Saccharomyces cerevisiae S288C: one gene and its partner. Changing the gene in region 1 together with any one later gene gives a genetic interaction. Each region holds a gene or a part of one and is shown in the gene's direction. Other genes may lie near its edges.

The links.
Region 2: mutations in OM45 (region 1) and PFS1 together harm fitness more than expected from each alone (negative genetic interaction), as found in Saccharomyces cerevisiae (2 studies listed by BioGRID).

The regions. Positions count from the first base shown.
Region 1 is NC_001141.2:90,767-96,753, forward strand, and holds OM45 (Om45p), read left to right. Parts: upstream 1-2,852; coding exon 2,853-4,034; downstream 4,035-5,987. Other genes in the region: TMA108 (Tma108p), read right to left, coding at 1-2,022; VHS2 (Vhs2p), read right to left, coding at 4,299-5,609; YIL134C-A (uncharacterized protein), read right to left, coding at 5,756-5,959.
Region 2 is NC_001140.6:474,127-477,216, reverse strand, and holds PFS1 (Pfs1p), read left to right. Parts: upstream 1-1,876; coding exon 1,877-2,590; downstream 2,591-3,090. Other genes in the region: ubiquitin-binding TORC1 subunit KOG1, read left to right, coding at 1-1,218; SSP1 (Ssp1p), read right to left, coding at 2,758-3,090. UniProt on the Saccharomyces cerevisiae protein: Involved in the pathway that organizes the shaping and sizing of the prospore membrane (PSM) during sporulation. Required to localize MPC54 to all four spindle pole bodies, and localize DON1 and SPO14 to four prospore membranes.

The DNA.
Region 1 (5,987 bases):
TTTCTTTAAGAAAGATTGTAATTTAGAGCTCGTTAAACTGGCACGATCGATCGTTTGCAGAACTTCCAACCCCTTGGAAAGAGGATCCCAATATTTTGATGCAATCTTTGTGGAAGGAGAAGCGATATGGTTTAGTATCTTAAAGAGACCGTGCAAATGAATAGAATTCTGGAAACCCTCATCTCCAATAAACTGCGACAAGTCTAAGAAAATCTTCCGAAGGTCAATCTCGGATAACGTCTCCTCAGTTATTTTATCATTAATCAATGCATAGCACTCTTCGGACTCATATGAAACGCGGTAATAACCTTGGGCTAAATGGTTAATTACTAAGATAGGATAATCGAACTTTAAGGTCCTATCCGTCAATAGTACATTTTTAGTATCCATTTTACCATCTGGCAGAACCCCGAATAAGGGTACCTGATATGGGACATCTTCTAACTGATCCTTTTCTTCAGTAGATAATTGATTGATAAATCTGTGTTGAGTCAATTTTGTTTGCGTTTTCCCGTCTTTCTCTTCTACTTCGACCTTAACGACAGGTAAGCCTGGCGTTCTTGTCCAAGATGAAACAAAGTTTGTAATATTTTGAGACTTCAAAAATTTTCCGATATGATTCCATATATCCATTGGTTTGACGCTTCTCGCATGAAATGTTTTAGTATCTTCAAATACACTTTCCAGGCCCTTTTGTAGATGAGATTCGCCTGTAGCCAATTGCAGGGACCTCAGCATGATAATACCCTTTGTGTATGCCTCAGGATCAAAAATATCGGAGGTTTGAGAATCTATGCCAGTGTTCCGTTGCGCAATCTGAAATATGCTTCTTCCATTAACGTCAGCTGCATCTCTGCACATGGTCGGCTCCACTTGCTGTAGTAAATAAGGTTCCGAGGTCCAATAATGGGATAGGTCACCATTCTGTTCTAGTATGTGGCAAGCTAACCAAGTAGCGAAAGACTCATTAAACCAAAGAGATTCCCACGAGTCAAAAGATATGTAGTTGCCCATCCATTGATGAACGAGTTCGTGGACAATGAGTTGCTGTGCTTGCTCTCTGACGGTTTCATTGGCCAAGGCATTTGGTGGTATGAGCAGGTGGTTTAGTTGGATGGTGATCATACCAAAGTTCTCCATTGCCATGTCACTTAAATATGGTAGTAGGACGAAATCTAACTTTGGCAGAGGGTATGGACATTTAAAATAGGATTCCAACAAAGGTAGATATTTCTGGACTGTATCTAAAGTGAAAGCTGCATTAGCAATATCCCAAGGTGCATAAATTGAAACGGGAATAGTCCTATCACCTTCCAACTTGATTTCCGTTTTCAAAAATTCTAAATCACCAATAGAAAAACCAAATACGGAAGTAGTCATCAAAGGTGTCTTGGCAAATTTCACCAAATGTTTTTGAGAACTATCCAAAGCTTCGACCATCTCTACAGGAGTATTGGAAACGGCTTTATATTGTGCATCCGTTGCAATGTTCAATTGAAAAGTGGACTTGTTTGAAGGCTCGTCAATACATGGGAAAATATTGCTAGCGGAAAACGGTTGGCAGTGAGTAGCAACGACGTGATTATTGGCAGTACCGGTTTTACGATCCATAAAATTGGTTTTGAAAATACCAAAAGTCTTATCATGATGTGTTTTTATGTCACGAATTTTACCCACGTATTGCACGGACAAAATCAGAGGGCAATCGTTGGACAATTGAATAGGAGATTCAGAGTTGAAAATCGACAAATGCTTTCCAGTGTCCTGAGAAATTTTTAGATCAAACTTAGTAGACCCTATGGTGGCATGTGCAGACAACACAATCAAATCCTTGGAATGTAACTTGAACTGGGTAAAACTGTCTTCGATAGAAGCTAAGGTGGTGGAGTTCGGATTGAATTTCAAATGGATTATGGCGGATCCTTTGAAATTGGGCGACGACTGCTTAGGGTCAATTTCTAGACGCAACTCATAGTGACTAGGCACCACCGGATTCTCTAAAGATAACAAATTATCAGACATGATGGTTAGTGATGATCAACCTGGCGTTATATATCCTTTACACGTCTTCGGACCTTTTTTTTGTATAGCACATCCAGGAATGGTTTGACTGCAAAACTCGTTTTTCACTGAAAAATTACCGGCGAATTGTATAATAGAAAGGATCGATTTATACTAAAGAAAAGAAGGATTAATATACAAGACTACAACCAAGGGTGGTACCTCACTTGAAGGGGGTTCTCAAAGTACTCGAGAATTTTGATATTCTGTCCTGTGTGTGCTGAGCCGTTCCAGCCAGTCTTGTTCCAGAAATATGTTGACAAAATTGAAGTTCGTAAATATATATACATTTCATATAATAATTGACAAGCTGATACATACGGTGTGCGGACGGTTACATTAATGCAGGAATCTATAAATGCTATGGCCAGCTGGCGTCCTTCTGTTATGCAGATTTCTTAAAATAATTGGCATATTGGTGGTAAACATGAAATGTGAAGACGTTGCCCCTCGTCATAGGTAAGCGGTGGTCATCACAACCATCAGCGGTGACAATAACACAGCAAACAGTCTTGTTTGACTCTCCTGCCTGCATGGTGTTTGAAAGTGAATCGTCAGGATTTGCAACAACCAATAGTGTACTGCTATTCGCAGGAGCACAAGCTCGCCGGTGGCCCGTGTGGGTTAAGGGAGGAGTTTGTTGACCCTTATTTTGTCGAGTTCCTTGAAGAGGAGTATATATAAGGGGAAACGGTTCTTGCTAAAGTCCTGCTTCTTTGCCCTTTCTTGAAATAAAGGGTATTTTTGATTGGCCAGTAACGTTAATCATTTAATAAAACAAGCAGATAAGGATGTCATCAAGAATAATTGTCGGCAGTGCAGCATTGGCAGCTGCCATCACAGCTAGCATCATGGTCAGAGAACAGAAGGCCAAGGGTCAGAGAAGAGAGGGCAACGTCTCCGCTTACTACAACGGCCAGGAGTACGGCAGTTCAGCACCCCCACAGTTGGGAAAGCTACATAACATAAAGCAAGGCATAAAGGAAGATGCCTTGTCGTTAAAAGACGCGCTTCTGGGCGTATCTCAAAAGGCTAGGGAAGAGGCTCCAAAGGTAACTAAGCGTGTGATATCACCGGAAGAGGATGCTCAGACACGCAAGCAGCTAGGCCAAAAAGCCAAGGATTCTTCCTCGCAAAGCATCTTCAATTGGGGGTTTAGTGAGGCTGAAAGAAGGAAAGCCATAGCCATCGGGGAATTTGATACTGCTAAGAAGCGTTTCGAAGAGGCAGTGGATCGTAATGAGAAGGAGCTCTTGTCCACGGTGATGAGAGAGAAGAAGGCCGCTCTGGACAGAGCATCCATTGAGTACGAAAGGTACGGGAGAGCCAGAGACTTTAATGAGCTTTCGGACAAGCTAGACCAACAGGAAAGGAACAGTAATCCTTTGAAACGCCTGTTGAAGAATAACACGGGTGACGCTAATACTGAAGAAGCCGCTGCAAGAAGTGTCCAAGGCTGGGGTGATACGGCACAGGAGTTTGGTAGAGAAGAGTTGGAGGAAGCCAAGAGAAATGCTTCTTCAGAGCCAAGCGAGGCGCAAAAACGTCTTGACGAGCTGAAGAAGATCAAGGAAAAGGGCTGGTTTGGTTACAACAAAGGGGAGCAAAGCGAGCAACAGATTGCTGAACGGGTAGCCAGAGGTTTAGAAGGATGGGGTGAAACAGCCGCTCAACTTTCCAAGGACGAAATGGACGATTTAAGATGGAATTATGAGAATTCAAAGAAACAACTGGATAAGAACGTGTCCGATGCCATGGACTCGTTATCTAAGGCGAAGGAGGACTTGAAACAGTACGGCAGCCACTGGTGGTCTGGATGGACTTCCAAGGTCGACAATGACAAGCAGGCTTTAAAAGATGAGGCCCAAAAGAAGTACGATGAAGCGTTGAAAAAGTACGATGAAGCCAAGAACAAATTCAAAGAATGGAATGATAAGGGTGATGGTAAATTCTGGAGCTCGAAAAAGGACTAGTTAGATAGCTAATTGTAAAGGGTTGGTTCCCGCATAACATATATACATATTCACATGTTTCTCATTTTTTATATTTGAAATCACATATGGTCTTTGCTGATTATGGATTGGAAAACGGAGTAAATTAGTGGCATTATTGGGGTATACGTGCATACATAAAATACCGTTATATATCTATATATATGGAAAAAAGAGACTTAAATGAATTTTTAGAGTAGGAGAAGAAGGTTGAAGAAATGAACAATCGCGGCCCTTCAGTTTTCTTTATTTGGTTGTGTCTGGATTCATAGAGGTTATTGTAGAGTTTGAATTTGATTTTGAACTTGGATTCGAGTTTGTGAACGCAGGGCTATTTTTGATGTTATTATTAATAGTATTCTTGTGTTTATTAGTATTATTGTGATTATCGTTAACCATGTTGGCAATTGATGGTGGTTGTGCCAGTTGTGACTGCAATTTTTGCTTTAGATTGAGTTTATCTCTTTCAATCATAGTGTTGTCCTCCTCTTCGGAAGAAAACCCTTCACTGCCACTGGATTCCATATGGAATTTGGATTTAGGTTTCCCGATCATAATGTTGGCAGCACTGCCGGGCCTATTGCTGTTTCTTCTTGAACGGGCGCTCCCTGAAGGTGACCTTTGTTGTTTAAGTAAGTACTGTTGGTTCGATGGCGATCTTGATAGTGCGGCCCCCGTAGTGCTTCCAGCGCTGGTTCCCCCATTGGCATTGTTGATCGTTGTGTTAGAGTAACGTCTAGATATGATGAAAGGGTTGGTGAAGTTCATATGCTGAGGTGGTGATGCCGAAGCTGATGGGGGGGAAGGCAAATGAGAAGGAGAATTCAAAAGGGACGACGAGAACGAGTAGTGACCTTGCATTGGGGGTCTTCTCAAGGGGTTCGCAGTTGATGATGTTGATGTCGCATTACTAACGTTGTTATTGTTGTCATCGGACAACATGTCAGCGTAGGAATAAAACCTTAGTAGTCTTGAACCATGGTCGTTGGGAGATCTTGGATGCGCAGGCGACGTTTCGTTATCAAAAGATTGTGACGAAAGACTTCTTGTCCTACCTAGGGCTCTATCCAGGCCGATGGTAGATGGCCTTCTCGAATAAACCATATCAACGTCATCAAGGCCAGTCGTGTCGTCAGTTACAATAGAACAGCCAGCGTCTAATGCAGGAGGGACGAAATTCTCTAAGGTACGACGGTGATCCAGTGGAGTCTGCACAACAAAATCCGGATTGTATGTCTGGTACGATGCTATTGACTCATTAGTCCTAGAAGGTTGCAAATGTAGATTCACAGCAGACGATCTCTGGCTTAAGTTATGGAAGTTCCTATTACTAGAATTATTATGATTGAACAAACTGGTCCTGCTGCTCTGCCTAGAGAGAGAGTTTGCAGCGTTGTTTGACACCGTTTTATAAAGGTATGATGGGTCCTCTACATTTCTTTCAAAAATCATAGAACTCTCGCTCATGGAGGGGGAAGGTGGCATATAATTATTGTCGTTCTCCCTCTGTGCCGCCACGTGGGAGTCGTGGTCTTGGTTGTGGTTGCTGGTATCCATCTTTGCCGTTTACGTTCGCTTTGCTTGAAGGTAGTCTATCACAAAAGCTTTCAGGATCAACCTTTTGCGCCTCAAGAAATTGCATATCACCAAAGGGTGAGTTTAGTCTGATACTGTTTGTTAATCACCTCACGACTGTTGCAACATTAATATGGCGCACACACCGTGTTACGTGATGAAAATAAAGATAATAAAGCGATAGCATAAATAAAATACCATTTAATACGCTTTGTAAAACAAGCACTAACAAGGCGTTGCTTAATAACAAAATAGTCAGCATTCAACAACGTGAGAAGGATAGCTACGACATCTACATCTGCAGTGTTGTTAAATTCGCTGCCAACAACCATTTATATGTCACCATACACGGTCATGCTC
Region 2 (3,090 bases), on another chromosome or scaffold:
CAAGAACCACAAATGAAAAAGCAAGAGGCGGATGAACCTGGCAGTGTTGAGTATAATGCTAGATTGTGGAGACGTAACAGAAATGAAACTATTATCCAGGAAACACAGGGGGAGAAAAAATTATCGATTTATGGGAATTGGTCCAAAAAATTGATTAGTTTAAATAACAAAAGTCAACCAAAACTGATGAAGTTTGCCCAGTTTGAAGATCAGCTGATTACTGCAGATGATAGAAGTACCATTACAGTTTTTGATTGGGAGAAAGGAAAGACTTTGTCCAAATTCTCCAATGGTACTCCTTTTGGCACAAAAGTTACTGACCTGAAACTCATTAACGAGGATGACTCCGCCCTTTTATTGACAGGTTCTTCAGACGGTGTTATCAAAATATACAGAGACTACCAAGATGTCGACACCTTTAAAATTGTATCCGCCTGGAGAGGCTTGACCGATATGTTATTGACACCTAGATCCACAGGTTTACTAACCGAATGGTTACAAATAAGAGGATCATTGTTAACAACTGGTGATGTTAAGGTTATCCGTGTCTGGGATGCGCATACAGAAACGGTTGAAGTGGACATTCCTGCAAAAACATCATCTTTAATTACATCCTTGACGGCTGATCAGCTAGCAGGTAATATCTTCGTAGCAGGGTTTGCAGATGGCTCCCTGAGAGTATATGATCGCCGTCTCGATCCAAGAGATTCCATGATACGTCGCTGGAGAGCTGGAAATGATAAGCAGGGAGTTTGGATTAACAATGTTCATTTACAAAGAGGTGGTTACAGAGAATTGGTCAGTGGAGCTACCAATGGTGTTGTAGAGTTATGGGATATAAGGTCCGAAGATCCGGTAGAATCGTTTGTTGATCAAAACGTAACTTCTCAGTACGGTTCGCAACAAAAACCAACGACAATGACGTGCATGCAGGTTCATGAGCATGCTCCGATAATTGCGACAGGGACTAAACAAATAAAGATATGGACGACATCTGGAGATCTTTTGAATTCTTTTAAAAACTCACATAATAATGGCGTAACAAGTACATTAGCCGCTACGGGAATCCCAAAGTCACTGTCCTACTCTTCCACTTCTGATGCATTTTTATCTTCGATGGCTTTCCATCCTCATAGAATGATGATTGCGGCCACCAATTCTCACGATTCTATTGTAAATATCTACAAGTGTGAAGACGAGAGAATTGATTATTTTTGATATGTGCCATTTCTTTTTTTTTCTTTCATTTAGCTGCAAAAGAGATATATATATATATATATATATAATCTATTATATAATAAAAGTCGAGTAAAAAATTGGTCTGATTGTGAATTTAACAGCTGGTCGCAAGTTCTGGAATTTGTTGTTAATTATTGTTTCATGTTCGTATAATAATACGATGTTTAGTAAAGCAGAAAGTTCAGAATATTAAAAGTCTGTTCCAATAGTGTAGCGGCTATCACGTTGCCTTCACACGGCAAAGGTCCCGAGTTCGATCCTCGGTTGGAACATTTTAACATCGATTTTTTTGTTTGTCATAGCCAGACCAATTACGACGTTTAGAGGCATGCACTTTGTTAAATATTTTTTCTCTCTCCTTCGACATATTTTTTTTCCTGTTTACGTAACATTCATCCCCAGTCTTTGTATCATTTTTTTTTTTTTTTGGTGATGCGACAGCAATTCTGGCCGACACAGTCGTTTTCAAAGAAAAACTACCACAAACTATGGAACATAATTGAAAACAAAAACATTTACTTATAACCTACATAATGATTGAAGATACTTCATTGATCTTTACCACCTTCCTCGTTGAAATCTTTTCTACCATAGTCAGTATTTTTGGGAATTTTATAAAAACGCAAATTTTATCGAAATGAATCAAGGTTACACACAGCTTTCCGCACCGGAACTGAAGGAGACTAAAACATCGAAGCTAAATAAAATGAACAACTTTCGAAGCTCTCCGATTGCTGAGATAATTAATAAGATACCACCAGATTGCGGGAAGATACAGAATACAACATTTCCTGAGTTCAATCCAGCGTTAAGAAGACGACAACACGAACAGTGGCCTGCATACGAAAAACCAATAAGAGTTACTGACAGTATGTCACCACAGCTTTCTTCAATCAATTGTTTGCCAAATTTGTATCCCCACGGTACGCTACCATTACCAAACCCTTATTTATCCTATTTAAATCACATTGAAAAAGTTAATTGCCAAGATGTCAAGTTTAGTAACTGGAGTGTTTTACATAATTCGAATAATGGATTTGAAATTCCGACATATTTCAGTCCACGGACAACACAAAACATGCCTTGTTCCGAAAAAGTTGAAAGCTGGCTTGAAAGATTACCAATTTTTGTGGGGTTCGACGGTTATTTATTTACAAACTGCTTTGATTATGAATATATGTTGGATTGGGAAGAGACAGAATTTACATTCGAGAAAACATCATGTATGGAGACGGATTATTCTAAAGCTTTAACCGATACTGATATTATATATATTCAAGAGAAAAAAATTGAAGCGTTGATAAGAAACCAATATCTGAAGGAGTATGAATTTTCTCAAAAAGATTTTTGAATTTTGAAGAAAGCCATTAATATTTAAATGTAATTTTGTGTAGAATTATAATAAATTGATGTTTATGTATAGATCTCTCGAAATATATTTAAGAATATATAAATAATAAATGTACAACAATAAGCATAGAACATGGAATGAGTGTTCAAACTATATTCGTTTGTTTTTTAGATAGGAGTTCTCCAGACGTTTTCATCCAAGTTTTGTTTTGCATCATTTAAAGCTGCAGCAAGAACTTTGCTTTCTTCACTTGCAGACTCCGGTTTGACTTGAGTTTTTTTAATGGAAAGATTCCTCAAACTAGCGGCATTGACATTTACATTTCTTTTCGTGCTTCTTAAAATCAAGGAATCATTTGATTCGAGATTCTCCTTCTTTATTTCAGGTTGCGATATCGATGGAACTTCTGCAGTTGAAGAGCTGATATTTTTTGCCTCTTTCTCTTCTTTTTCCTGAGCGAGAAGTTCAACTAATTGATCGGGCTCAAGTTCTTTCGCAGA